Lytechinus pictus: one gene and its partner. The protein of the gene in region 2 purifies or fractionates together with the protein of the main gene of each other region. This does not show direct contact. Links are inferred from orthologs where the notes say so. Each region holds a gene or a part of one and is shown on either strand. Other genes may lie near its edges. The genes, in order: SERPINE1 mRNA-binding protein 1-like and RNA-binding protein 42-like.

The links.
Region 1: the proteins of RNA-binding protein 42-like (region 2) and SERPINE1 mRNA-binding protein 1-like purify together in Homo sapiens (affinity purification with mass spectrometry; 3 studies listed by BioGRID and IntAct, with this or other methods). This does not show direct contact. The link is inferred for Lytechinus pictus from reciprocal best matches to the Homo sapiens genes RBM42 and SERBP1.

Annotation. Positions count from the first base shown.
Region 1 is NC_087255.1:23,541,004-23,556,349, forward strand, and holds the start of SERPINE1 mRNA-binding protein 1-like, read right to left. Parts: upstream 5,734-15,346; 5' UTR 4,652-5,733; coding exon 4,444-4,651; intron 1-4,443. Other genes in the region: zinc finger protein 367-like, read left to right, coding at 5,734-6,106, 7,661-7,780, 8,647-8,791, 9,962-10,256. UniProt on the Homo sapiens protein: Ribosome-binding protein that promotes ribosome hibernation, a process during which ribosomes are stabilized in an inactive state and preserved from proteasomal degradation.
Region 2 is NC_087252.1:34,935,733-34,951,717, reverse strand, and holds the start of RNA-binding protein 42-like, read right to left. Parts: upstream 6,749-15,985; 5' UTR 6,662-6,748; coding exon 6,609-6,661; exon of another isoform or gene 6,521-6,608; intron 3,866-6,520; coding exon 3,696-3,865; intron 2,761-3,695; coding exon 2,371-2,760; intron 1-2,370. UniProt on the Homo sapiens protein: Binds (via the RRM domain) to the 3'-untranslated region (UTR) of CDKN1A mRNA.

The DNA of each region.
Region 1 (15,346 bases), on a different chromosome or scaffold from region 2:
TGATCGAATTAGTATTGCTTGAAAATGGTGTTTCCCGAATTCCCGTCATTGGGTGAAATCCTCTTCTGTAACTTTAAAACTGCACTTCTATGGAAACTTACTGAATCACTCACCTCTCCCCAGTACAAGAAAACATTTCCAAAATCGCCCAAATTAAGATGTAAAGATTAATCAACCATCATCGTAATCAGCAGTGACAACATTCGCTTCGAACACCCCCCCCCCAAACACACACACATGATCTCAATTCTCAACATCCCCTCTTCATTTATGGACCACTTTCTCTTTTGCTCGATCGCTCTTTGCGACCATCCTACCCCCCCCCCCCTCTCGCACACTACACGCTGATGCAGAGTAGCAACAGTAGCTCCATGAGTGTGGTATGCAAAAAAATTAGGCCTGTCGAACTATTTTCATAACATTTAGAATCGTATTTAAAAAAAAATCGTGAGGTACATGTATGCATTATGAAAACATTCGTGATCATGGGTGAACAAATGAAAGAACAATAAAAATCACTGGCGGATCCGGGGGGGGCACAGCCGGCACGTGCGCGCCCCCCCCCCACCATTGAGAGGCACAAGTAAAATTTGGAATTTAAAAATGGTGTTAAAACAGAAGCGTGCCCCCCCCCCCCCTTTAGAAAGTGAAGACCAAATCCCCTTAATTATTTTTGGTTGAAACCCTTAAAAAAAATCCTGGATCCGCCCCTGAAACAAATGAAAATACTTATAATTCATATTAAAAACGAAATAATTGGATACGAATTATAAACTTTAACAGAAAGCTATTAAGTATGAAAGTTATATTAATTTTATCCGAAATTGAAAAACATTCAATTTATAAAGAGAAGTTTGGGACCCCGTCTAATGAATTATTAATTATTTGGAAGCCTCGGAACAATTAATCTTGGGATTTCACGGACCGAGGGGCTATGTCCTTATACCTCGGTCACATTATTTTGCTCTACGGCGGCCATACGGCGAGTCGAAAACAGTCGTTTTAATATTGTTTTTGTACCAGCTTCATATTGGTGGTTTATCCATGTATAAAAATGAATAAAAATGCTGTTTTCGACTCGCCGTGCGGCAAATGTGACCGAGGTACGAGTCTGTCATAGACATGAAAAACAATGGTTGACAGAACCAAAACACGCATTCAGAAAATTAAATCACAATTTCAAAAGATGTAGAAAGTATGGGGTAAATTTATTGATCAATATGTGAATAAATCTGGCTTTAAGTAACTTCGTTGGACTTTATATCAATCCTTTCCAGTTTTCCATTAAAAGATGTTCTTTAAATGTTGACGTCCTTAGTATAGTAGTCACATTTGCTCTACGGCGGTCGTACGGCGAGTCGAAAACGGCCGTTTTATTCATTTTTATTCAAACCATGTATATGTACACTGGTACAAAATAATGTTAAACTGCTGTTTTCGACTTGCCGTACGGCCGCCGTAGGGGAAATGTGACTGGGGTATTATAGTGACATATAAAAATAATAAAGTTGATGCAGTTGCAAATTGTTAAATCTTTATTAAAAGAAATCATGATATAGGGGTTGGCTTACTCTTTACAGTTTGGCTTTAATTTATTTTTGATGATTTTCATTATACTTTTCATGAACAGTGTTTTACATGTATTCCGTGAAAGTGAATGTCATTCCAGAATTCCATGTTTTTTGTATAATTCATACTGAACTGGAAACTCTTATTGAAGGCAAATTTAATGCATAAGAATTTATTGAGCATATATATATATATATATATATATAATTTATATTTATATGTTAAGAATAATTCAAACAATGCTGTTTACTGTGTGAATCCCATAGTAGTTTAAACAGTTTAAACAAGTGTTCAAAATCTTAAACAACCATGCTTTATTTATTGATGATTAAATATTAGAGTTTAAACTTTGTTGTTTATAAAGTTCTTAAACACTTGTTTAAAATGTTTAAACTACTATGCAATTCACATATTAAACATTGTTTGAATTATTTTCAACAGTGAAACAACATAATACATAAATTAATTACAAATAAATCACAAGAACATTATGACCATATATACATAATAGCATTTTTACAGTGCATCATTGTTGACAGAATGGTTTTCGATCCTTCTCAGCATCATATTCATAATTTGTAAAGATTATTCACTTCTTCAATTTTAAGTAAAAATAAAGTTGAAAGATTATCTCATATAAAAATAAAATTGTTTTTATATCCGAATATCGTCGTCTTGATTTAGTGATCCCCAAATCCTTCACCTTCTTGAGCAGTTGTAAAATGCGATGTGAACTTGTAGCTCTCGACCTTTGTCCTTTGGGTCTTGTGAAATACAGTCTTTCAATCAGTGTCAGTCATCTTCGGATTATGCTGTAGATTATACAATGAAAATAGACCATAGTTTGAACTTTTGAGTTTGATTTATTGCTGTCATAATTGGTAATTCAAAGATAAAAAAAATTGATAAGAAAAAGAACAGGGCAGGAAAATATTTGATTTTTGCAAAAAAAAAATACTGAAGGAAACAAAATCAAAATCAATCTCCATCCATATCAATTTGGTACACATCCGCACTTCAGTGATTATAATTTGCATTATTTTTCAATTTAATTTCCTGTATTTCTGTAGGGTCTATAATTATTGATATTATCATAGAGCTATAGCTCTATGATATTATCATGTCTCAACAATTCCATTGATTGTCCCTGGCTTTACCGAAAAAAAAAAATCAGTGTCCAGTTTTAAAAGTAAAATCAGTATCACGAAAGTCCCAACAAATAAAATGCCCAAACTTATATTCCTAAAATACTACGAGTATGATATTCGCCATTCCATTAATACAAGCAGAGCTTCAATTTCAGAGCCATACACAACAACAGGTGCAGCTGCCATTCATTACATACACGCCCCAAGGCCGCATGGCCGAGCTCACACACATTCCACAGCCATTCACGAACCATGCACGAACAACCGAGCGAAGCCCGATCACAACACAACGTACGCCATGCTTTATATACACCATTGCGGACTAAGCACAAACACCACCGCAAAACAGTTCACAAAATAAACCTCGGTGTAGACGGTTTTCCGTATGTCGCTCTGTACCAATACATGTCGCTCACATACACTTTGCACACATTGACACACAGTAAACAACGAACACAGTCGTGCGATTTTCACTTCTCGACGGTAAATATCTTCAAAAATATGACTTACCAAATGACGAGAAGTCCGCAAAATATCATCAGATTTTCCGAGGTAATGTAGCTACACCGTATGAAGAAAATGAGATTTTCAACTCGAAATCTTGAAGGAAATACGTCGTGTTTAGTATGAGGTTGATCGGTGGTTCGCAGAGAAACTTCTCGCACTACATAGGTTTTGTATTATGGGAAAATATGCAAATGAGAGCCAAAACACCCAATGAGATCACAGCTCAAGATTTGTGAATGAAACATGACGTCACGCACTACGCTGGCGATCGAACGAGCGTATCGCGCATGCGCGGGTTTCCTGTACAATTCTTCTTTGTGGTCTGTTGCCGTGGTTATCCACGCTATTTTATTCATGAGTCCACTCTTCAAACAGTGGACTCATGAATAAAATAGCGTATCTAACCATGGTAACAGGCGTCAATTTGGCACACTGTGACAAAAGCGCGCATCAGCATTGGACATTTTTTAAACACACGCCTGATACGTGCGAAATTAAGCGTAATTTAAATCTGCATGAACCATGGATTCAACCATTGGTTTTCAAAACCACCTTTGTGAATTCGGGCCTATATTTTGATGAAATAAAGACAAAAACCGATGAGCCCCGTCGGGGGATTTTGCATTAACCCCTAATGGCGCTGCACGATCGCGAGCTGTCCGTGTACGAGGAGGAATACATGTAAAAACAAACTCCTTGAAACAAATGGCTGCCAGCTGTAGTCCCTGCTGCCTGGGCCTGGTCAAATTAGCTGAACCGACAGTCGGACTGAAGTTGGCATCCATTTTTCTTTTCCATGTGGAATTGGAAATTAAATTCATTCATAAAAATCATGGCTTCATGCCCCTCATTTATTACCAAACAAATTTTTTTAATTTCAAAATCAACCCTTACTTAACAGTACTTCTTTCCACAATACCCTGGAGTCTAAAGTTAGACCTTTATATTCAATTGCTAAATAGTAAACGCAATGTCAATGTCAATGACTGCAATATCCCGTAGTCCGTACATCACGTGCGGCATGAACATGTATGAAAAGCATGCCGGGTTAGGGTGGTGGTGCACGGAGCATGGAGAAAATTTATTTTTAGGCCCCACGAACATAATTTTACAAGATGTTTTAAAACCTACATATTGAATGGGGGAGGTAACAAAATACTACCTTAGACACATCATAAATCATACATTTCATTTCTAAGAAAAAAGGAAGCTTTCATACCTTCTTTCCTCGATTTTTGCTCAGGTTCTGGGGCCTTTTTGGCTGGTTCTGGTTTCTTCGCAGGCTTTGGCTGTTTGGGTTTGCTGCTTTTCTCCTTCTTCTCCTTCATTCGTTGTTCCTTTTCAGCAAAGATATCCTGTGGATCGGACACCGTATCCATGTCCAAAAGGAAACGGTTACTTACTCCTATAGTGTAAGTAACCTCCATTGTGATAAAATCCTTCGTTCTATGAAGGATTAGAAAGATATTTAACGCTATAAAATGCGTTCTCTCAATGAAACCCCCGTCATTAAAAATGGCGATAAAACTGTACACAAAGTGAATAGGAAGCACGCGCGGAAAAATAGCTATGCAATGTTTACATCGAACGAGAGCGAGGGCTCGGCGGCAGGCATGCTGCGCTGGAAGGATCCGTACTTCGAGCTTCCAGCCTGCGCTAGATTACGTACGTCATGCATATATGGTACGAGTTAGTACAGTAGCATATCATGCATGTTCGCGCGCTCTCGCTCTCTTGGACAAAACATTTAAAAGGGGTTCAAATCCCGGGGTTCAAATACGTTTATCTGATTCAGATCCCTTCTGATAATAATGAGGTATAAACCTGAGGTGAAAGAAAATCCTCATTAAGTTGTAAAAAAATCATACATTAAATATACATGTCCAAAATATGAATAATTCATTTCTAGCGACCATTATATACACCGAAATACCCCCCTTTACTTTTAGATTCGCCCGGTTTTATGAAAATCGGGAATCATAATCATATCAAGCGAGACTGCAAGAAAAATGTCCTGCAAATTTAAACTTTTTATCATTTTCGTCTAAGATAAGATCAATATCTTACACAGTAATCAAGGTAAATAATCCAGGCAAAAACAAATATTGCTTGTAGTACCGACAAGACAGCTGATAACACCAATTACCATATATGGAAGTTCAGGTTTTGTCTAAATCTTACTTTATCAGGGATCGACTTAAAAAGCTGACAAAAATATGCTTTTTTACAACATGAGATGAACGAAAAAAACTATATAAGTTTTTCATTATATGAAAAATGAGTGAATAATTCAATTCTTTCAATGTATAAAAAGAGAAAAGGGGGAGCAAACGAGTTATCTCTTTGCAAACAAAATTAAGTTGTTAGTTTGAGGCTATCCTTTAAAGAGCCCGCTTGAAAAAAACTCCCATAACACCTTGCACCGGAGCATTTTGTAGCGCCAAATTCGAGATCGGTTTGTTGTAAACGCGCGAGATCAAGAAGAGAACGGGACGACAGACAGCTGAAAATGGCTAACGTTTTGAAGAATTCGCCGTATAAGATCATGCCTAACACTGAAATTCGATCACCAGTTCGACCACCAAAATTATCGTTGACGCCTTTAAGTCCTGTGAGTCCTGGAATCTGCTACTTTTATCCCTGGAAATGGTCGGAGAGTGCAGGGAACGTCGAGCTCAGCCCATCTGCCAGCAGCAGTTCTTGCGGTGGCTCCCCGCCCGTCGAACGAGGGTCAAGTAGGGGGAGACCGAGGGCAGAGACGGTGGCAGAGTTGCAGAAGGCAGGGAGCAGTGAAATCCGTCGAGATGTCATTCAGTGTATTATTTGCGATCGGATCTTTCCCCGAGAAAAGTCATTAACAGCACACCTTCGAACGCATACAGGTAATTAATTGAAAGAGAGTGTCAAAGAATCATCATAAATGATAGGGCTCGCTTTGGTTTGGCTAAATTATAATAAAAATTTGGACATCAGATTCAGATGTCAATTTTGTCATCAGTTCTCATTTTCTCAGTCAGACATTTATTACTTGTATTTACAGTTAGAGAATAACGTAGTGTAGGCTATGCTAAACATTTTGATTTGTGTGAAAGATCATGTATTTTTTTGGGTGAAAACTGCTGAGCTGACCTAGTTACATAGTCATAATTATAAGTTAACCTTTTTTTTCTTATGAAATTATATGATAATGGAGGAAGAAAACAAGAAAGAAAGAGACAAGATTTATCTCTTTGAAAAGAAGTCTATTCGTGAGCTATATCATGACATGACTAAGTTCAAGTTTAGGCCGTCAGTATAAAAAAAATAAGACCTTGTCCTTGACGAAAGACGAAAGTCTATTTTGCTAACTGGGGCAGGGGCTAGCCTTGAGGACTTCGTGATGATATTTTTAAATATTTTGACATATACTTCTTCATCACGAAGCCTTGAAACCCCTTCCATAGGCATATAAGAGGACATGTAAACAAAGATGGATTTCCCTAGAAAATCCATCTTTGAAAATTGAAGATAGAAATAACGTAAATTTGTATCATTTTATTTATCTATACACCTTCATACGCCTAATCATATGCGTATGAAGGTGCAAAAATATGTTAATAAAAAGGTTAAAAACGAGAGGTTACATACCAGACCGATCTCGTGTAGATCCCTCGATCCATTTGTAAACAACGCAAATATAATAGGCTTAAGGCTTGACCCTTGAACCGCTTCGTCATTATGTACCTTCGATAAGCGATGTTACAAAATGTTGTTTTGAAGAACAATTTATAGATAAAAATTATTATTTAAAGGTCAAGTCCACCCCAGAAAAATGTTGATTTTAATCAATGGAGAAAAATCAAACAAGAATAACGTTGAAAATTTCATCAAAATCGGATGTAAAGTAAGAAAGTTATGACATTTTAAAGTTACATGTATGCTTATTTTTCACAAAACAGTTATATGCACAACTCGGCAACACACAAATGAGAGAGTCGATGATGTCCCTCACTCACTATTTCTTTTGTTTGAATTATACAATATTTCCATTTTTACAGATTTGACAATAATGACCAGCTTTACTGAACCATAAAATGTTAGAACAATTGTAATTCCCCATGTATACATGGAGGAAGAAAACTTGTTTCACCTTCCAATGAGGAGAAAATTAAAATATTTTATATATCATATAATAGAATACAAAAGAAATAGTGAGTGACGTCATCAGTCCCCTCATTTGCATACCAACCAGGATGTGCCTATAACTGTTTTGTGAAATTTACCAAAACTTTAAAATGTCATAACTTTCCTATTTTACATCTGATTTTGATGAAATTTTCAGTGTTATGCTTCTTGGATTGTTCTCTACTTGTTCAAATCAACTTTTTGTTGGGGTGGACTTGTCCTTTAACAAATTTTAACTTACACATTCTTTGTTTTTATCTTCTGGAAAACAGGAGAACGTCCATATAAGTGTGACTATCCAAACTGCAACCGAGCTTTTGTTCAGAGCGGTCAGTTGAAGACCCATCAGAGATTACATACAGGAGAGAAACCTTTCGCTTGCTCAGTTCCAGGTTAGTCTTGCTTGACCCAGTGGGTGTTCCTTAAAGCTGTTCATAAGTCAAGAGCAACTTTAAGAACGACTGGTGATCCTTTCTTGTGGTAAATAGTATACACCAAAATGTTCACTGGCGATGGTTTAGTGCGTAAGATAGGTTCACCAGTCGTTCTTAAAGTTGCTCTTATTTTACAAACGGCTTTATTAAACACCCCCCAGTATTGCCACAGAGAAAAGTTAGAATTAGCCAAGAGCTGCCCGGAAATATGTAGTTAAAATGAAGAAAAAATCCTCGATCCATGTTTGATCCATTCAGGTTTCTTGAATTCCTAGAAAAGCAAAAAAAAAAGGAGGTACTTACCAGCAGGATTGATTCAAATTCCAAATTATACTGAATCTAACTTTTTCAGATTGGATTTGGTTATATTCCAGTTTGTAACATCTTCAAAATGGGGATTTGTATGACTTAAGCAAGGAAAGAAGATTTGTAAATTAATAATGATGGAAAAATAGAACATTATTCCATCAAATAATGTATTTTTTTGTGCTTCTACTTATTTCTCCACAAGTTTTGCAATAATACTTAATTGCAAAATATCTCCACTGGTATACAAGTTTCTAACATTTGAATATAAGAGGTTTTGATGTACATACACATGTGTACTGTAATTCAAATATATTTTTTAAAAGGGATGAATTTAAATTGCTGAAGTAGCAAAATTTGTTTATGAAAAACTAAAAGGTGCAGTATGCCTAAAACTGAAAATTTCAGACAAAATGTAATTCATTTTAAAAAGAAAATAATTGAGGTTTAGCGTACCCAATATTTAGAATCCTGGACATAATTGCTAAGTGCCTTTAAATGTTTTTTGTTGTTGCCAGGTTGTCAATCCAGATTCACACATGCAAACAGACATTGTCCGGAGCATCCATATGCCGGCCTTCGTCGAGAGACAACCCAAGTACAGGTGGAAGAAGTCGTCAGGACCGATGAGAACAGTGAAGAAGTTGCCGAATGGTTACAGAGGTAAGTTAGAGAAGAGAACTTTAACGTCTCTAAAAAGCTGTTGCTCAGGGTCACTCCGTAACACTTTCATTGGCAACAGTAGCCTTGTGGTTTATCTCTTTATCTGAAATGATTAGCAAAAAAAAAAAAAAAAAAACCCTTGGTCAATTTGTATTTGTTGACTCCTTCCACCACTTAGCAATTCTGTCTGACACTTCAAGTAATATGAAGTCAGTCTATTAAACAGGGGCATACACTTCTCCCAGGCCAAATTAAAAAACTAGATTTTGCTGTGCAATGTCATTCTAAGGCCATGGTTGCAGATGTCCTTTTGATTAACCTCAAAGGTCAAGATCCCCTAATTGGCCAGAGATTTTTGTTGCCATTCAAATCTCTTTAATTTGTGCTATGACATTGGAGCATTCCCTTCAGAAAGTCTGGTCTTGCCCTGAGGACACTTTAGATTTAAGGCCTGTAATGGGAGAAATACGTAGTTGTACTTCATGAAAGTAGATCCTGTGATATTATTTCTGCAAGCAGAGTGGTTTTCCACCAATAGAAAATAACAGGTGCCCACACCTAACATCAGCACTATTGGTCATTCATTTGTTTCAGAGACCCCCAAAATATTATTGATACCTTTAGAATTTAAACAGTCTTTAGCTATCAGTATTGTCATTTCATATCCTATTGCTCCACATTCTGGTGAATTTAATATATATATATATATTTACTTTAGTATAGGACCTGTTTTTTGCTTTCATTTCCAAATTACCTTTATTATGGATCCGTATGATATTCATGCAGGTCATTTTGTTATATGCGTATTTGCCATTCTGGGTGCTATTTTTGTTCTGGTTTTGAAAGTTTATGACATTAATTTGTAGTGAGACTTCCTGTATACCATCCACTTGTACAAAAGAACCACCACTTTATTCTGAATGCTGACTAGTTGTAATTGAGTTATACCTACTTAAGCATGTATCATTCATGCAACTTGCTCATAGAGACTGTTTTATTGTCTACAAAGGAAGCCTTGATGTAAAGGGGAGCATTTCATGAAACAAAATAAGCTTCTGGAAATCACTGACGATAAACTTTTCATGAAATGCTTCCCAAAGTCTTAATGTATCTTGCATTCATGTATTTTATTTAAAACAACATTTTGAATCTTTTTGTTTTTTTGTGTAGGTATCAAAAGAGACAAGTAGAAGCCACTCTTTACAGTTCATCAAGCCCACTCATGAGAACACCTACATCCAGACGACCCAGGGATACAAACACTCGTAAGAGGCTCAGGACCGAGAGCGTAGAATCTAGTGACGCGGGCGAGGAGACAACACCAAAGCGTGGACGGAGACCGATGGTGAGGCAGCTCATACGAGAACAACAACAAGAGCATAAGGACAAATTATTAGGGGCTATGGCCCTAATTGAGCTCGCACAAAATACATTTGGAAACTCACAGTCGATCTCTGAAAACTAGATTGATACTTTAGAATGATTTCTAGCTCAAAAAGGAACATTTGATGTGATATTTTTATATTTCTGGCTGTGACATGTGGTTTTACAGCCTTTGAGGAGATGACTTGATGTCTGCATGGAAGTTTTCAAGTAGATGATGTTGAGACCAAACTCCTTCCCATCAAAACAAACTTTCATTTTAAAGACTGAGCATGACCAAGATGAATACTTCATTGTAACAGTTTTTACAAGCATGTTTTTGTTATTAGTTTATTTAATTTTTTAAATTTCCCCATCGCTATGGAACATGAAAGACCTTTTTGCACTATAATCATGCATAAATTTAAATTGTAAAATACATAGGAATTATGGCAGTGCTGAGAATGTTTAAGAGGGCAAGTATTTCCATTTTCCTCAATTGGTACAAGTTACAACTGTATCTATCTACCAACTACCCTGTTCTTAAGATGACAAATCCCTGTGGATGGTAGTGTGTGTTGGGGGAGGGGGGTAGAGTTTGTGTTAACTCAAAGGACAAGTCCACCCCAATAAAAAATGGATTTGAATAAAAAGAGAAGAACCAAACAAGCACAACACCTAAAAATTCATCAAAATCGGATGTAAAATAAAGTTATGACACCTTAAAGTTTTGCTTCATTTCACAAAACAGTTATGTGCTAATCCTGGTCAGGTCAGTATGCCAATGAGGAGACTGATGACATCATCCACTCACTGTTTCTTTTGTATTTTATTATATGAAATATTCTAATTTTCTCATTGTCAAGTGAAACAACAATTAATTGATCCATGAACATGTGGAACTTGCATTGTTTGATACTTTGTTTCAGTCAAGTTGGTCCTTATAATCAAATCTGTAAAAAAAAAAGAAATATTATGATTCAAACAAAAACAATAAAAAACAAAAGAAACAGTGAGTGAAGGACATCATCGGTTGTGTCTCATTTGCATGTCACTGAATTGTGCATATCACTGTTTTGTGAAAAATAAGCGAAACTTTAAAATGTCATAACTTTCTCATTGTACATCCGATTTTGGGCTTAATTTGAAGGCCGGGGGGGGGGGGGGGGGGGGTTGTAAATGTCATGTGGGCATTTTTGCTCTGGCGAGTTGTTGAATGGGAATTTCTGCCATGATCAGAAGTTTACAACCAAATCTTTCACTTTCAGAGTATTATAGGTATGTTTGCTGTGCATATTTATATTAAGGAAAAGAGAACATGGTTAGGCAAGAACAGGATATTTCATGGATGTGATAGTACATTTTCTATTTTATTAAAATTGTATTTTAATATAGCGGATAGATGATTGTATCTTACTGAGGGTATGCTAGTTTGTCTTGTGGGTATAACAAATGTGCTCATATAAATGTATGTAAAGCTGGTTAAGCAAGGTTTTCAATATTTATCACTGCTTTTGGTCTTTGAGAATATCTAGATGCTACATACATGGTGTATATACATGAAGATGTATTCAGACTTTTGTTTGATGAACTACTTTGTAATTTATTCTCTTCACAATTGATGCTAGAGATGTATATCAATATTTTGCTGACATCTGTTGAATGTAAGCATGTGAAAACATCACATGGTATGTCATAAAAACACATAATTTCTGTGTATCATTAAGATTAGGCGTGGGTCACATTCCTCATTAAGATAATTGAAGTACTCTTACAACATAAAAGGCTGTATTATTAATCTTATATTTTAATGCTTCTCAAAGCTGAACAATATATATGTTTAATTTCAAACTTCAGTGTCTTTTTTTCTGGATCGTGACTTTTGCATTAGTTCAGTAGTACATTTACGAGCTGCATATTAATGATTTTTTTAATTTAAAAGAAAGGTAAATTAATTTAGGGGGTGGGGTCGTGTAGGGGCATGTGGGTCAAAATGGACGCTGTACAGCCAAATGTACTTGTGGAATATGCAAGAGCGAATGCATCTTACAGGTATGTTCTAATTTTAAAGTTATGTTCTAATTTTAAAGTTAATCTTTTATAGTGTTTTTTTAGGCATCAAATAGTATATTTTATTGTAATTTTGTACTTGGTGTTTGTAGGTTGTGATGTTTGTTTTGTCTTCATTTTTTTTACTGAGTGTAACTCTGTAAATATTTATTTAATGTATGTCTTTACATTGCCAGGTCAAAAGCAAGGGATTCCTGAAGGACCGTTTTATTTCTATCATAAACAAAAACTTTCATCGCTCATTTTTAACAAGAATTTTTTAAGAAATCAGTCATTTTGCAGTTCGAACAAGATCAATCCACGTTAAGTTTTCATAGAACATCATTTTTAAACCTGTAATTTGAACATACACATTCATGCCAACTCTGAAATGGTGTTAGTAAGTGGAACATTAGAAGCATCTCTATGTGATAGCTTATTTTGTCAGTTGATATATTTAAATAAGAATCAGGGTTGGGAAAGAGTTTAAAGAATTAAGTTTTGAAAATGGATCAAATGCAAAATAATGTTTTCTTTTACAGAAATATCTAATATCTGTATGTTTCTATATTCAAATTTTAAGAATTATTTTGGTAATCATTTTGAAGACAGTGGATGATTTCATTTTTTCCCTAGCTCCAACACCCTCAAAAGATCTAAATTACATTTATGTTAGGTAAAATCCCAGTGAGATTTATCGCAGGACAATTTGCTATTGTCGATGTAAAAATCTGCACCACTCCCAACATCAAAACAAATGCCTACGCTAAAAAAAAGTGAAATCCTCCATTTACCCCCTTTTTTTTTTGGGGGGGGGGGGGGGAGTTGAGGAATGTGTCTTGATATTTTTTTATAACAAAATGGCTGCGTGTATATACTGCATTTACCAATGCCAGGCCAGGGGCCTATTTCAAAGAGACTTGCAGGTATGGTAACTACCATGGTAACATGGCTCAGTAGTCAATCACAATTAAGGTTTCCATGGTAGATATAATAATGACAAAGTTACAATAGTTGCAAGTATTTATGAAATGGGCCCTTGGTATATTCTGCCTGTCTTGTATCCACTATGCGAGGGAAAGGAAACTGTAAATAGTAACATAAATGTACATACATTGAATGTATGATATAGAGAATAAAATATGGATATATATAAAACTGATTTGATCTGTAAAGTTTTCATTGTAATAATGTAATGGTGCAGTTGATATTTTAAAAGACAACTTTGTGCTTAGGTCCAATCTCTGGACCAAAGAAGTCTATCACTTAACTTTAAGGGGAATTCAGTCTTGGTACTAAAATTATTAGTGTGAAAACAGAAGTACAAGAAAGACAGAGTAACAGAAGTTTGAAAGAAATGGAATACTGTGATGGCAAATCTCAAATTTGCAGATGTGGTGAGTGGATTGTGATTTGTGAAGTAGTAGGACCTGGATCATTGCTAATTATATTAAATAAAGTGGAAATTAGATCGACTGGTGAGTTGAGGATTTCTCGATGAGAATTAGACTTAGGGGATGTTGCAAGAAACTATTTACAATCATTTGCAAATATTCTGTTGCAATCTTACAATTGATAGATCAATTTTAACTGAAGCAAATCAGTTTACATTGCTTGTTTTAACCCTAAAAGAGCCGGGTTATTTGAACCCCTCTTGCCCTTCGCCGCAAAAATTTGCAGTGGTAGTGTGCAATAAAATCTACAAGGTTATTTTTTTTTAAATAGTAAGATTTTTCATTTAATGAATTAATTATGCTAATTTATGCATGAAATAAAACATTTGCTCTAATCAAGTATCATACGGCCAAAAAACTGCTATTTTTTTATTTAGAGACTCTTTGTAGGATCCTGATCAAATGTATCTAAAAAAAAATTTGGTATTGCAATTTTTAATTGTATTTTTTTTTTTTTTCTTATGTATTTCTTTGTTTTTTTACTTTGTTTTTTTTCGATGGAAATTGTTGCAGACTTAATTCTGATCATAAACAAGACAAAATTAATGAAGTTTAATCAGTAAAAGTAGAATGCATTTATGAATTTTGGCTAAATACACAATTTGCATTGGATTTGTACATAAATCAATGCGCGACATTGGCACCGGTCCCAGACCAGTAAAAATTGCTGTTGGGCCAGTAATTGTTCAGATATAGCCAGAATTACTGGTCCGACATGACCAGTAAAAAATATATCAAATTGATACAAATTATATTTGTATCTCTTTTGTAAATCATATAAATGTCTCTGGCATCTTAAAAAATGGCTCTCATGAATTATGTTTTGTGTACTGTTTGGTTTTATGATTTTTTTTTTTTGGGGGGGGGGGGAATAAAAGCAATAAAAGAAAGCAAAATATTCTCAATTTTTTAATGTTATGTTTTTCTTTATTTTTGGGGGGGACCAGTAAATTTTAGGTTCGGACCAGTAAAAAATTGAAACACCGGGTATCTACTGGTCCGACATGGACAGGTTGGACCAGTAGGAAAAAAGGTTAGTGTGGAGCCCTGCATAAATAACCGTTTTTGAGCAGTTTAGGTCTGACATGCACTTACATAATGTTGCGTAATTTCTTAAACGCGTACCCGGGCATCGCAAATTTGGTCTCAAAAGTTGTGCGAGATTTGAAAGTAAAAAGTCAGCAAGAGGCGCAGTTGAAAAATTTCGCACGGCGGATCAATCGTGAAAAATGTAGAGGGGGTGGAATCCGTCTCCCCTTTTAGGGTTAAGAAGCAGATTAGCAATCGAATGTAAATTCACAATTGTTTTCAAAACTTATGACTGATTCAGGGAACGAATAGCAGTTCATCACAAGTTTCTTCCAACACCCCATATGTCTGTTTTGGACCAAAGTTAGACCAAATTGATCGGGCTATTTTATTTAGAGCTAGGGAGCATTTCATGAATAACTTTTTTTTCAGTGATTTTCACCAACTAATTTTGACTAATTTGCTCTCAGCCAATCAGATGCAAGGATTTTCAGTAGCTTATAACATCTCTGTCAGTGAAAATCAATGACAAATCTTAATGTATTGCTCCCCTGTTCATTTCAAATGATCCAGGGTCCCGTAACACAAAGGTTAGCGATTAATCGTATGCTTGATTTTTACGATTGATTGTACATTGTAATCAATGCAATTAATCGTAGAA
Region 2 (15,985 bases):
ATTTTCTCCTCTAGTGAGAGCTTACAAACAAGGCATAAGCGATTTTGTGTCTCGCCCACTTATGAAAATAACCAGAAATATTGTGATTTGCGAGGGCACGCAACAGAATTGTATCAAAACTTCATTGTGAAATGACTGGGATGGAATAACAATTGCCATAAGAGTTAATGTTGACCTCAAAGTAAACTTTGACCTTACCATGTGACCTCCAAACACAATAACATGCCGCCCTCATAAGTATACCTACAACCCAAGTTTGGTTTAAAAGTGACATACGGTTGCAGAGTTATGTGTCATAACATTGACCTCAAAATGACCTTTGACCTTATCATGTGACCTCTGATTGCGCCGTGACATGCAGGTCTCCTCCGTACATCTACAACCCAAGGTTGAGTGAAAAGTAACTTACGGTTGCGGAGCTATGTGTCGCAAGAGAGTCGTGCACGTAAACTTTAACGTTGACCTGAAAATGACCTTTGACCTTACCATGTGACCTCCGAACACACTAACATGCAGATCCCCTAAGTACATCAACAACCCAAGTTTGGGTGAAAAGTGACTTTCGGTCGCAGAGTTGTGTGTCATAAGAGTCTTGCATGTAAACTTTAACGTTGACCTGAAAATTACCGTTTACCTTACCATGTGACCTGCAACTAATACTTAACATGCAGGTCTCATAAGTCCATCTACAACCCAAGTTTGAGTGAAAAGTAACTTAAGGTTGCGGAGTTATGTGTCATAATGTTTGTGACGGACGGACGACATTTGGATCCCTAAGTCTCGCCTTCACCTCTGGTGGGAGAGACAAAAATGATTCAAATTGCATTATAGATAGCTCAACACCTAAAGAGTATTTCTAAAATGCCAAATCCTTATTATGTGCTCAAGGCCCTAACAAAAGGGGGAAAAATATACAGAGAGGGAGGAAACAATGGATTAAAGAAAAAACAATCATGATAATAAAAGGAAACTACTTGGAGGCAATTTTCAACAAATGACTTTTTAGAGCAATTTTGAAACAATCGATACTTGAAATTTTACAAATGTAATATGGCAATTAATTCCACAAGGAAGGTCCAGCATGTGCAAACGACCGATCCTCCCATGATTTCTTGGATTTTGGAACGGCAAGCAATTTGGAATCAGAAGATCTTAAACGTCAAGGAGGATTGTATGGCATCAACAAATTTACAATGTACTCTGGGGAATATCCATGGATACAGTGTAAAACTAACAATAATAACTTAAATACAATACGGTACCCGATGGGTAACCAATGCAGTGAGGACAGAACTGGAGTTATGTGAGTAGAGCGTCTGGTAAGGGTAACAATACGGGCTGCAGAATTCTTTAATTTTTGTAAGTGTGAATGTTGGGATTAAGGAAGTTGACATAAAAGTGTATTGCCAAAATCAAGTTGAGATGATATCAGAGCACGTACTATCTTTTCTGTAGAGCAGAGCAGGTTAAATACTTATGAATGAAACCTAAATTTTGCAACTGATACCTGATTGATTTACACACGGCAGGGATCTGGGTAGACATAGACATTGTGAAGTTAAATAAAACTCTAATTCCTGCATGACTTAATGGCATAACATTAACATTACCAATTTGAAGCGTTTTCTAGTACAGCTTTAGAGCCTATAAACGACAACTCAGATTTATATATATTTCTAAATAATTCCAATTCCTCCATTCACTGATATGAACACAAGCATGAAGCTAATGACATCGGTCTGGTTTGATACCTAGTGAGATTTGTACCAGCTACATGTTACGTATGGTGCTGTGATAATATGGAACTAACACTAGCTTCAACACAGGAAGGTTCATCATCATCATCTGCTGTAATCTTCAAAGGGCTCTGCAGCCTATCACGAAGATGAACTGAAACTTGGACGCACGTTATGAGGAGGAGTGAGGAATATTTTCAAGGTGATTTTGCAGAAGCTTTTGAAAGCTGTCAAGCGAGACTGCATTAACTATTTGGAAAGGAAGTTTATTCCATTCAGGTACAGATCGTTGGGCAAAGGCAAATTTGTCAATATTGCCTCTTGGACGATATGTCTGAAAACACTTGTTGTGATTTTTCCTAGTGACAGTGGTGCTTAAGGAGAAGAATTTGTCTTGGGGTATTGCAGCAAGGTCATTTACAATCCTATACACCATGCCGAGTCTGCTTACAGTGCGTCGAGAAGACAGACTAGGCCACTTCAACTTGGTGAGCATGCTGGTTACGCTGCTGGTTCTACTGTAATCAGCTAAGACATAGCGAGCCGCTTGCCTTTGGATTCTTTCCAAAGGTTAACACCGGACTTGGAATCACTCAGCAACTTTCAAACATTATCTTACTAGAAAAGAACAAACCTTCTTTTTTTATAGCTGTCGGTTCATCCTTTGACTCTGTTGACTTTTCTTTCTTCACTTTCTTCTTGGATTTCTTATTCAGAACTGGTTTAGATGCATAGGTTGTAGGCTTGGCAGATAGAGTGACTGGTTTCTGTAAATTAGGTGGAGCTGGGGGCATCATTGCGAAGGGGGGCATCGGTGGGGGAGGGAGGGGACCCATCATGTTAGGTGGAACCATGTTGGGCATTGGTCCCATTGGGCCTCCAGTGTCCATAGGGGGAGGGGGTGGAGGGGGTGGTAAGTGGGGGAAACGAGGGGGGCCTTGTGGTCTCTGGTTTGCCCTAACCTGGTGAGGGACAAATCCATGGTGTTCCCTTGATGGTCTGTTTGGTCTTGACATATTTCCACCTATAACAAATGAAAAACATTCTTGTCATAACTTGCTATAAGATCAAATGTATGTATTACACAATCTAACACAATCTAATGTGTTTTGGCTACCAATAATGAATCAGTATATTTCATTGCTTTTATTTTTTTCATTTTTATAAAGGGTGATGAAAATATCCCAATGAGGCTCTGATTAGTGTAAATGCTGTAGAAAAACAGTGAAAATATTGCCTGACAAGACTAGTACATAAAACAAACACTCCTTTTCACTACTTGATTTTCTGCATTTATTGTTGAATCAAAATAGAAATTCATAATAGGGTTAAACATTTGAATTTCATTTCAAGCAATAATTATAAAAAGAATAGTTGTATGATTCGAGTATTTTCTACAATATTACGGCTGTTACATTATTATGCATTTGTGGTTAATTTCTCCTAATAAACACAATATAAACTGACTATTAATTGAATTCAATTACTTAAACAGATTTGATATTTGTTTGCTTTAAGTTAACATTATGGAATCACTGATGTTTTATTGTAGTTCGGTTGATTTTAAATTACTGATTATATAGTTAATTGATTACTTGACTGATATATTTCACAGCCATTTATATCATAACAAATTGTGATTTATTTACATAATCCACATTGCCTTTAAATACACTTCAAAGCTTTTCTCTTACAACCAGAAATGTATCAAGGTAAATTTGAGAAGCAAAATAATTCCCTGCATGTAATAGCATTTATCACAATATTTGGGTGAATGTAAATCTTTCACGGTGCCCATATTCGGCTATTGTGTGAATTGCATGACTCTCAAAACAGTACGTTTTCACTCACGCTAGCAACAAGAAGGATCTGCTATACAATATAAATTTGTAATGCAGAAGTTGCCATCTCATTCTGTTGATGATATCAGCAGAAAAGAGAAATTATCTTCAAACTTACCAGGCCTGCCCATCTGTCTTGGCTGAAAGCCAGGTGCTCTAGGAATCCTTTCCCTTCCTTGGGTCTGCCTCGGCTGGAATTGAAAACTTGATGCTTTATGTTCTTGACTTTTCACTGCTCCCCCAATAGGTGTTGGGTCCTGTGTTAAACTCATAATCTCCTCCTCAAACCTAGAGAGCAGCAAAAAGAAACTTGGGGTAGGTTAGTTCTGTAGTGGACAAAATATTGTGCACTTTACATACATGTATTATTATTCTCCTATGAATAGCAAATTGGATTTTATTGTATCATTGCTAGTATTTGCCAAGAATATTTTTTCCAGAGGGGTAAATATTTCATTCCTTGCAGGTATTGTCTTTTTGTAGTTGGTTTCCTTATTTTATTCAGAAAATACAGTTTGCTAAATCAGATAATGGATTTGGAACTTTGATTGAGTTAACTTATATTAGTGCAAGGGAGACATAAAAAAATATATTAATGAGAAAATGAAATAATGATTTTATGTGATAATATAAGAAATGAGAAGGGGACAAGATGCGTCATCAGCCCATCTAATCATAACAACGTGCATTTATACATGTGTTTTCACAGAATATTGACTAAACGTTAAAATTAAATTTTCCGCATTTTAAATTTTACTTTTAGATAGATGTAGGCTTGTATAATTATTTTCTACAAGGAGTACCCTTTTAATAGTATCATCGTCACAATCAAACTTTTCCAACATGTCAACAGAAAACACTCATATTTTCTGTCAAAACTTAAAATCTGGTATTGATCAGTTGATACTGATAGCGTTAGTCGTCAGGACAGCCATGCGCAATGCCCACCTCTACCTCGAGCGAAGTTCGTGCAGGCTCCACTCCACTTCACTACCGCTACACTACGCTCCACCTACCCGAACTTCGAGACCATGAACTCGATCGGATATTCCGAGTGACAAAAGGTGGGATTTTATGGGGAGAAAATACAAAATTCATGCAACATCACGATCTTTAAAAACAAGTACAACTAATATTCTTACTTTACACACAGTTTCACTTCTTTTCCATGCTTCTATCAGTCTCAAAATTGATGATTTAGAGCCAACATGAAGTTCCTCACACGTAATAATTCGCTGCCGATTTCAGAACATCGCATGTGCGCGAGGGTCCGAGCTCGGACCAGACCCGGTACCTCCCGCATGCGATGTTTTGAAGTCGGCAGTGCATTAATATTTATACGTGTGAGGAACTTCATGTTGGCTCTAAATCATCAATTTTGAGACTGATAGAAGCATGGAAAAGAATAACCCAGAGAGCTCCGGCCCGCGTAGCGGGCCGGAGCCCAGACGCTCAGTGTGCAATCGGGCATTCAGACGAGAGTTCCGTGAAGTTTGGTCTAAATCATTTTGATAATAAATAATTAAAACAGAAATTAAGCACTTACCACGATTGTATGGATGATAGTCTAACGAGTGGCAGTTTCCTGACATCGAGGCACAGACTGGAACCTCAAAAAACGATAAGTTCTGTCGCGGTAGCTCTCCTCTTTCAGAATTCAACACAAAATGGCCGATCGAGACCGAGGCTAGTATAGCACTAGCGCATATAGACTTTGTCAAATTCGCGCATGCGCCCTACACCCTCTCGAACGGCCATTTTGCTATGAATTCTGAAAGAAGGAGAGCCACCGCGACAGAACTTATCGTTTTTTGAGGTTCCAGTCTGTGCCTCGATGTCAGGAAACTGCCACTCGTTAGACTATCATCCATACAATCGTGGTAAGTGCTTAATTTCTGTTTTAATTATTTATTATCAAAATGATTTAGACCAAACTTCACGGAACTCTCGTCTGAATGCCCGATTGCACACTGAGCGTCTGGGCTCCGGCCCGCTACGCGGGCCGGAGCTCTCTGGGTTAGGAAAAGAAGTGAATCTTTGTGTAAAGTAAGAATATTAGTTGCACTTGTTTTTAAAGATCGTGATGTTGCATGAATTCGGTATTTTCTTCCCATAAAATCCCACCTTTTGTCACTCGGAATATCCGATCGAGTTCATGGTCTCGACTCTCGAAGTTCGGGTAGGTGAAGCGTAGTGTAGCGGTAGTGAAGTGGAGTGGAGCCTGCACGAACTTCGCTCGAGGTAACCATGATCGTGCTACTGTACTGAATTGGACAAGCTGGCATTGGTGCATCGAGCCACGGCCACCATCTATGCATATTAATAGCGAATAATGGAGATGTCACAGAGAACAAGTTCATTGAATGAGTGGGCCTAACTACATACAATACAAGTCACTGACATTTATTTGGAATCTATTCTAACGTTAAATAAAAAGATAGGCCTAAAATAAATGAAAGTAGGCCTAGACTAGTTGCAGTAAACACTGATTTCACGAGAAAGTCTGTAAAAGCAGGCTTAATTGTCATATCATCGAGGATCTAGATCTGGTAGTGGTACAGTTACACAAACTAAACTTTGTGAAATCTTGAATTGAAACCTACGCTGAAAAATGTTCACACTGAAGATCACCAACAGGCAACACAGATAAGCGCACGTGGGACAGTGAATTATTAATTGCTTTGATTTGAATGTCGGCCCGAAGCTTGACCCGAATCCCGTACTTATTTGCTGAGTGATATCTCAGCAATTACACAATTTCTTCCAGAATCCTTTGCCTTTGGCACATATTTTTTATTCATACAAACAGACACTTTGGTGGTCATTTCATTGAATTCTGTACAAACTCATTTTGAAATCGTTAGTCGTTACCATTTTTACACAACTGGCATTTAAGATTTATCTTTAAAAAAAAAAAAAAGTAAATTCACGAAAAAACTCTACCTCTACAAATCAAAATGGAACTTCATATCATATACCGGTATGCCTGGAGGATTTTAATCACCAATTTGTCAAAGATATCATAACAAACCTGCTCATTTCTTCCTCAATGGACTTCATCTTGCCTCCGCCGTTGGACGACATGTTGTCAAAAGAGGATAATTACCGGTATGAGGTGAATTTCAGCGGTGGTGGTGGCGCGGAAAAAAATGTGCAACTCGTACGTCACTCTCAGTGACGGTTCTCCAATGAATATTCATTAGATCGTGGTCGTGCGCGTGAACAGTATAGGGGAAGGCGCAAGTTGTGACGGGGTTGTGACCCCGGGGGGGGGGGGCCACTTACATTGACGAGTGGATACCATGCGCAACCAAAAAAACACGTAAAAAGGATGTCTATTTCAAGATAGGGCACGTTACGTACGTAACGTGATAAGGGTGTCAAAAACACAAAAATATTGAAAAAAGGGTATCTATTTCGCCCGGAAAAATATACGTGTTTAGGGTCAAATATGCGGGGATGATGAAACAAAATCAAAATGTTTTATAAAGGATGTCCTTTTTGCCCCACGTGTTTAGAGTCCGATTTGCGCGAGGTGTGGAAGGCGGGGCCGTACTAAACCAAAATAATGGTGTCTAAAGGTAAAACCGACGACCGACGGACGCGTGTCATAACAATGAAATATCTCTGTACTTGTTTAGGGGTTCATTTCAGGGAATACTTGCTAAGAGTATCGTTTTGTTTCCAATACTTGTTAAGGGGTGCATTTTCAGAATATGGAAAATACATCGCTGTACTTGTTTAGGGGCTCAGTTCTGGGAATACTTGCCAATAGTATTTGTTTCCAATACTTGTTAAGGGTAGGGTTTCACACGCCAATACTTGTAAAGGGGTGCATTTTCAGAATATGGAAAATACGTGTTTAGGGTGCTTTTCAAGACCCCGTGGTCGCGCATGGTATCCACTCGTAAAAGGAAGTGCCCCCCCCCAGGGTCGTAACACTTCTTGCATTTTGCTTTTTAGAATTGATATGACAAATAGTATGGTAGAAATAAGTGGCCAGCCTTTAGATTTGACTCTTGGGAAATATTTTTCACCTATATATATATAACTTTCTACCCCCACACTGAAAGGCATTGTGACCTTTGAAAAAAACAATGTCAAATGGCTCAACTTGCCCCATCTGTGCATGGGGTAAATTGTGCCACCTTCTACGGTAAGTTGAGCCCCAAAAACTATGTACAAATTGTATGCAGGAAGAACCAGCATGTAAATTTTTTATTTAAAGTCTTTTAACTTGCTAATTCTCTATGAATACTAACATCCTCTAAAAGTAAAAGAACTGTCATGTGAATTTGCTCCTTTCTGCCTGCATATCAATGCAGTGGCGTACCGTGGGTCACGGCATTGGGGGGCACCAGCAAAAATTTAGAGTCACTATAAGTGAGCGCGCGAAGCGCGCCCAGTTGCCAGGTATACCTGATAGAGACATTTTAAGGACAGTGCCATTAAACGGATATGTCTCTCACTGGTCAAATAATGCGAGCGGGAAGCGCGAGCTTAAAATTTTTGATATTCAGACCTAAAAAGGGACATTATAATCAATCTTTTGTAATCATGATACGTACCTGTCTCGCTAATGCGAGTGCGAAGCGCGAGCTGAAATTTTTGTAAATATTGACCCCCAAACAAGAAGATTTTAAGGACTATATTTTAGGAATCCATTGAGAGTATACACATCTCACCATAGTCATCTAATGCGAGTGCCAATAAGCGCTTACTGATTATGTTAGAATTACATCTAAACATGCACATAAAGCACTTCTAATCATGATTAACATACCCATCTCACTAATCAAATCTTGCGAGCGCGAAGCGCGAGCTGAAAATTTAGGAAATTCAGACCTGAAAAGGGACATTTTAAGGTTTTTTTGTAGAAATTCACGAAGACCATACGTAGTTCACTAACCAAATGATGCGAGCGCGAAGCGTGAGCTGAAAATTTTTGATATTCAGATTAGAAAGAGGGACATTTAAGGACTGATTCTAGGAATTAATGGAGAGCAGACATATTTCAGCAATCCACTACTGCAAACGTAAGCAAGGACAGAAAATGTTTAAATCAAGACCTTAAAATGGGGCAATCACTTTAAGTAGTCATGAAAAAGAAGCATACTATTGTACATAAAACAAAATAACTCGAAGTGCGAGGAAATATATTTGGCAGTTTGGTGTATATTGACTTGAAAACGGGAGGTTTTAGTATAACAGGATTATATATCTCGGTAAACAGACAATGCCAACGGCAGGAACAATGAAGACATAGGCCCTGAGCAAGTTATGTTTCATAAAGTTATGAAAAAAAATGTTTCTTATGTAATATAACATAACATAATTATGATATAATATAACAGTGTAATGAATAATAATGTCTTCTTTCCCACTACGTTTCTCTTCCTTTCTCCCTCTTTTTCTCCTTTTCCCCGTTTTTTTTTTTTTTTTTTTTTGTCAGCCGATTGGGGGGGGGGGCACGTGCCCCCCATGCCCCGTAGTTACGCCACTGTATCAATGGCTTTTTAAGGTTTTTTTTTTTTCATTATACATTACCATAAGAATTACTATGGCTCAAATTGCCCCATGTAGGCTGGCTCAAATTACCCCAGTCCGAGCTTAATGCGACATTTCTTATGCAGCCGTCATGTAAAAGACTACGACAAGAATGAGAATCAATACCTGGACTAACAATATTGTTCTTATTTCTTAATTATATTTTAAGACGTGTGCGGGTAAAAACACACTTATCTATTTCAAACCCTTTTTTACTTTTTTGGCTGAAATTTGAATTTTTCCTCTAAAAAATTACTTTTTGTTTCAAAGTTGAAAACAATGTGGTGGGGTTAAGGGTTATGTAATGGGTCATCAATACACGTCACCACCACAATGTCTGACTCATTCATTATTGGCCTGGGGGTGGTGGCTCAACTTGCCCCTATGCTCAATTTACCCCGCCTTCCCCTACTGAGTGTGCATGTGCGCTATGAGGGAGGCAGGCGCGGAGTCAGGAGGGCGGTGGGGCGGTCACCCCCCCCCCTCCCAAGAAAAAAGAAGGGAAAGGGAGAAAAAGAAAGAAAGGTATAGCTTTGTTGTTTTTTCCCTTCTTTTTGGAGGTCCGACAAGAATAAAAACCTAGACGAGACGTTCTTCTCTCTTCATACAAAATTTTGCTCCCGCGCTCCGCGTGGGAAAACTATAAAAATTGCCATTCCCTTTTGTTTCCCACACCTTTTTTCTATTCCGTTTTACCCTTCCCGGCTGTATATATACCGTATATTCTTGCCATAAGTTATAAAGTATACATAGTTTAATTCTTACATTGGAAAAGTTTAATTTCAGCAATTTTTTTATTGAGGCAGTTAAAACTTTATATGCATCTCGCCATGCCTATGTTTTGAACAATGGTTTTCTAACTGAACGTGTCCCTATGCATGGAACGAGGTATTTTTCAAGGTTGTCCGATTTCTCCATATTTGTTTTTACTTGTGATAGAGATAATGGCAATATCAGTCCGACAAAACAATGCTATTAGAGGTATCCCACTTGAAAATGAAGATGTTAAAATATCTCTTTTTGCTGATGATTCGGTATGTTTTTTAAATGGTTCTGATAATTCTTTTTTTTTGAGCTTTTTGAAACCTTGCAGAAATTTGGAAATTTGGAAATTCTGGTTGCAAAATTAATTTCAGCAAAACTGAAGCAATGTGGATAGGTTCTAAGAAGGGTGATCAACACTTCCCTTACATAAACCGTAGTGTTTCTTGGAAGGCTTCAAAATTTAAATGTTTAGGGGTAGTTTTATATCTCAATGTTGTACAAATTTATGAGTCAAATTATAAAGAGAAACTAAAAAGAATGGAGCAAACTTTAAACTGCTTGCGAACTAGAAATCTTTCTCTAATTGGTAGAATCTGTGTTGTCAAAACTCTTATTTTGCCACAGTTAATCTATTTTTTCTGTTCTTTCTGTTAAATTACCCAAAGCCTTTAAAAAAAAAAAAATTATTTTTTAAATTTATTTGGAATGGAGGCAAGGATAGAGTTCAACGTAAGATAATGTGTAATGATTATACTCAGGCTGGACATAGAATGATTGACCCTTTTTCTTTTGCATGTGCTCAAAAAATGGTCTGGGTAAAACTCCTATTGGATGAGAATTTTGATGCTCCATGGAAAAAGATTGAAGTAGCCTTTCTAAAAAAATATAATCATGATATTCAAATTTTGTGGAAATCTCATGCTCCTGAGAGCATTTTAAACAGTCTTGGTAATATACAATTAGCTGAAGCATTGAGAATACATGTGGTATTCATTTAGGGAGGAAGCTGCTATCGAATTTTATGGTAACAAATTTTCAGATTTGAGTGGTTGTCAACTCTTGTGGTATAACAAATTAATTCGTTCAAAATCTAAACTATGAGTATCTTAATTATCCAATGTGGCAGGAGAGAAATGTCTTAATGATGTCAGACTTATTTAATCCTCCTCTTTTAGGTCTTCTATATGCTTTTCACACTGCATTTCATTAACCCCATACTATCCTTAACCCCGGACTATCCTTAACCCCATACTATCTTTTTTTCGATTCACACTGTCTTTCTTAACTCCATACTATCTGCTCAACCGTGGTTAATGCCCTATCCGTGGACTATCCCTCAGCTCATGAATATTGATGATTTTACCATACAGAGCGTGATTAATGTGCAATTCGACTTCTGTGATTGGCTAATGCTTAGCCCCACTTTCCTTACCCCTGTTTCGTTTTCACACTGCATCTCTTAGCACCGGCGCAATTTAGGTCTTTGAAGAGCTTGTGTTAGATTTTGGAATCCCCCAAACAGACAGAAGGAAATATAATTTTTTAATTAAATGCATCCCGGAAGAATGGTTGGTGAGTTTTGACCCTGATATTATTGGTGTTCATGAAACAATTGTACATAAATTGTTGAGTTATAAAAAAAGTCCCTAGAAATTCATACATTTTATTTAGGGGATCACATACACCTGACAAAAGATACTCTTATTGGGATGAACGTTTACCAATACCAGTATCTATCGATTGGGAAAAGGTACACTACACAATTTTTTTTTGTACCATTGATACTAAATTAAGATCATTCTATTTTAAGATTTTTCATAAAGCCATAGCATTAAATGATTTTTTGTATAAGATTAAATCTAATGATTCACCCAATTGTGTTTCTGTGATAAAAGTGAGGAAACAATAGTCCACCTGATTTGCGAATGTGAAAGGGTAAATTTGGCAATCCCTTTTAACGAAAATTTCCCAAAATAATGTTCAAATAAATGGTTCTAATTTTGAAAAAAATGTTCGGACTCTCAACTGATAAGTTCATTTCATACCTTTTCTTACTTTTGACGTATTATATTCATACATGTAAATTTAAGAATAATCCTCCAAGTTTTGCTCTTTTTAAAACATTTGTTAAAAAACAACAGGACTTGGAATATTTTATAGCTAAGAAAAAAAATAAGTTGCCCACACACTTTAAGAAGTGGCGATTCACCTTATAATTTGGTTTTCAAAAATGTCAGCAGGTTACATGATAATTAAACACTGTATATTTTGTATAACAGGCTTAGTGCCCCTTTAAAAAAAAATAATACTGCACTGTATTGGTTATATGGTTGTAGACATCAGATCCCATTTTTTCATGCAACTTGTATCTCAGTCTCCTTGATATACTTGTTCGTTTAAAAACCTCCATAATTATGTCGTCTTGGATTACCAGTTGTGTTTTTTAATCCCATGAATAGTTGTTTGGAAACCACTTCATAATCATAGCTTGTATATTTTGTTTTGTCTACTTTATTTACCAAATCACCTATCTTTGTTTAGATAACACTGATATTAAGTCATCACTTTGCCACATTTCTTTTTTGGGGGGTGGGGGAGGATAAGTGGATAGTTTTTTTTTTATTATTATGGTTGTTATTTCGTCTTTTTTTGTGTAACTAACTTGTGTTTATGTAATTTGCAATCACCTAATAATCATTTGTAAATGTTGTGATTTATTTCAATTTGTTAAATAAAAACAGAATTAAAAAAAAGTATACATAGTTTAGTTAGTTTAGTTTACTCCAACGATGTTGTAAAGGAGTAAGCCTGTTCATCGATCAAAGTAGAATGTCTATTGCTGCTCTCCTTCAGACAAAATTAGATGCGCCATTTATGTTGACAGGGAGGGGTGGCAGGGGTATCGTAGACAGCAAAAATTCCATGAAAAACACACAATCGAAAATCATCTTCTCCCAATGCTTATCTAGTCTATTCTTCAATGCAATCACTGAACAAGCAGTAACTACATCTTCTGTGAGACTGTTAATTCCACATGCACACATCTATCACTCGGTTAGCAAAAAAAAAAACTTACGTACATCAAGACGTGAATATCTTTTCTCTAGCTTTAAAGGGATGATCCGGGCTGAAAAAAATATTGCTAAACTTTAAACTTCAATAACTTTATTATTTGTTATCCGATTTTGATGAAACTTTCGGCATTTTGCTCAGTGAATTCTACTCTATGTATTAAGATATAAATATTTTCAGCCCGGACCATCCCTTTTAATACTTTGTATCAATTTAGTAGCTCTACGTTGGACACTCTCTAACCGCATCTGGTCACCGTATAAGCTGGGTAGCTTATACGGTGACCACGCAGCCTGGCCATACTCTAAGATTGGGCGAATAATAAGGCTTAATTGAGGTCTTATCCAAATGTACAAAAGTTCTTCTTATAATACCAAGCAGTCTATTAGACTTTGACACCACTTTACATGGGTGTTAAGATTAAGAGTATGAAATTTTTTTTTCATATTGCATTGACACAAAATTTGGGCTCTTCTGTTCGGAGTGGGTAAACATTACCATTACTCCCCGAATCCCCAGCAAATGCTATTTTCTTCCGCTTTTCAGCAAGTAATTTTTGGCAAAGTATCCGCTCAAAGGGGGGGGGGGCATTAAATTCGTGCCATGCTATGTGCAAAAGTATAAAAGTTTATTCTATATCGCTGCACATCCATCTCCTGTCTCGTTTTGCGCTATTGGTTTGACATTTTGATTATCACTGAAGTTTCTTAAACAAAAGGAAGCGCTTAATATGAGAGAAATTACGCAATTTTCTTTTCTTCCAAAATAAGCATATACAGGAATTAAGGAAAAGTTCCTCTTTTAGCTCGCACCAACCCTTTCACATTTTGAGCTCGTTTTTCTTCTTAATCGAGTAATACATAATCTAAGAAATTTAGAAAATTTGAACAGGTTAAAGTTTCAGAGAAATTTCTAAAATTGCAGAGCTTCAATGCTGGGCGTTGTGGCGTGCGCCTGTAATCCAAGCTATGTAGGGAAGTTACAAATTGATGCAGAGGTTCGAGGTTCGTCTTTCGGATGGTGACGTTAAAGGTCGGTCCCAGACATAAATAATCATATCTGATTGATACACGTCTGACAAAACTCAAATACACACACACACCATAGGCGGATCCAGCTTTTGGCGAAAGGGGGGCGCACTGCCGAGCGGCGCACATATTTTTGCACTTCACCGGCGCCATAAAAGAAAATGTTGAAAAAGGGGTAAAGTCTGACCCTGTCAAATGCTCTTTTAAAAATGTAGGATTTCCAGTCATGCCATTTTGCATGACCACACGCAGTTAATAATTCAAGACTCGAAAATTTGGTGCACATCTCACATTTGCACATTTTTCATAGCTTTCATGAAATGTTAAGGAAAAAAAAATTGTTTTTCACAACAGCAGATCGCGAATGTGCCCCCCCCCCCCCTCCTTCCCCCTTGCTGCATACGACCATTCCCTGAAGTCCACTTAAACATATCTCATTATAACAGAAATATACATCAATTTAAACATATAATCTTTCTAAACATATATAGAGAAAGATTGAAAAACTTATTAAAGAAAGAAACAAGCAAAAGTAACAAAAATTATGCATGTTATGTGCGATTTCAAAATATCGTGTACTAACCCTTTTATTGCGATGAGGCCAATACTTTTGTATATTAATAGAGATACAAGTTTTTTTTACTATATGTATATATATACACTGGGGCGTCGATCCTTTTTTTAAGATTTGGGGGGGCAAAATCATGAATCAACTTTCCAAAGGCGCTCGATATCACACAAAACAAACAAACTCACACAAAAACACACACTTATGCATATATATATATTTATATGACTCATGAGATAGAAAACATATCTCACCAACAAATTAATGCGAGCGCGAAGCGCGAGCTGAAATTTTTTAGTATACTGACCTGAAAACAGGAAAAAGGTGCCTGTTTAGGACTGTTTGTAGTAACTCATGAGGAGGATACATATCTCACTACACAGATAATGCGAATGCCGAGGGCGAGCTGAAATTTCTTTATATTCTGACCAGAAAGCTTGATATTCTATGCATTTTTGGTACCAATGATTAAGATGGGTATCTAAAAAAACAATAGATGCGAGCGCGAAGCGCGAGCTTAAAATTTTGATATTTCGATCTGAAAAAAAATGACAGTTTAATGGACGTTTGTAATAAAGAACAAGATTATATCCAGCAAAAGATTATTGCAAATCGAAGCGGGAGTTCTTTTGACGTTTAGTCCTGAAAAAGGGACATTCTATTCATCTATTTAATCATGAAAAGTATGGGGTTTTGCTACAGAAATGATGCGAGCGCGAAGCGCGAGCTGAAAATTTTTATATTCCAATCTGAGAAGCGGATAATTTAAGCACGATTTTAAATAAAGAACGAGTTGTGTAGCTCAATCTCAATATACGACTGGTTGCGTAATTATACACTCCCGGTACTAGCAACGGGTTTTAGCAAAGTTTTGGGCTAAAATATCGAATCATCTTCATAAAACACTATAGCAGCTGTCTTAAATAATTGATCAAAATTTTAAGTTATTTATGTAGAAATGTCAAAATTTTCACGCTCGCATTATTTGATTGTTGAAATATGTAACGTCTAAGTGAGCTGGCTAAGTGCAAGCAGTCCTTAACAGGTAGTTTTCGATCAGTTCAAAAAATTGTTCTGCTCGCACTCTGCACTCGCATTATTAGTGAAAGGAAGATCCCCACTTATACTCATCCTTTTCATGATTTACAAAACTTGAATAAAGAGTCTCGTTTAGTAGATCTTAACCTCAAAATATTCCGCTCGCGCTTCGCGCTCGCATCATTTGCTTAGTTATTTACCTATATTCTGTTTAAGTTACAATTAGCGCTTAATATTTACATTCCTTAGGTAAAGATGTCAAAAAATTTCAGCTCTCGCTTTGCGCTCGCATTATTTGATTTTTAGAATATGTAACGTCTTCATGCATGGCTAGCTGCAAGCAGTCTTTAACATATACCTTTTCCATCAGTTCATTTCTTCTCGCGCTCA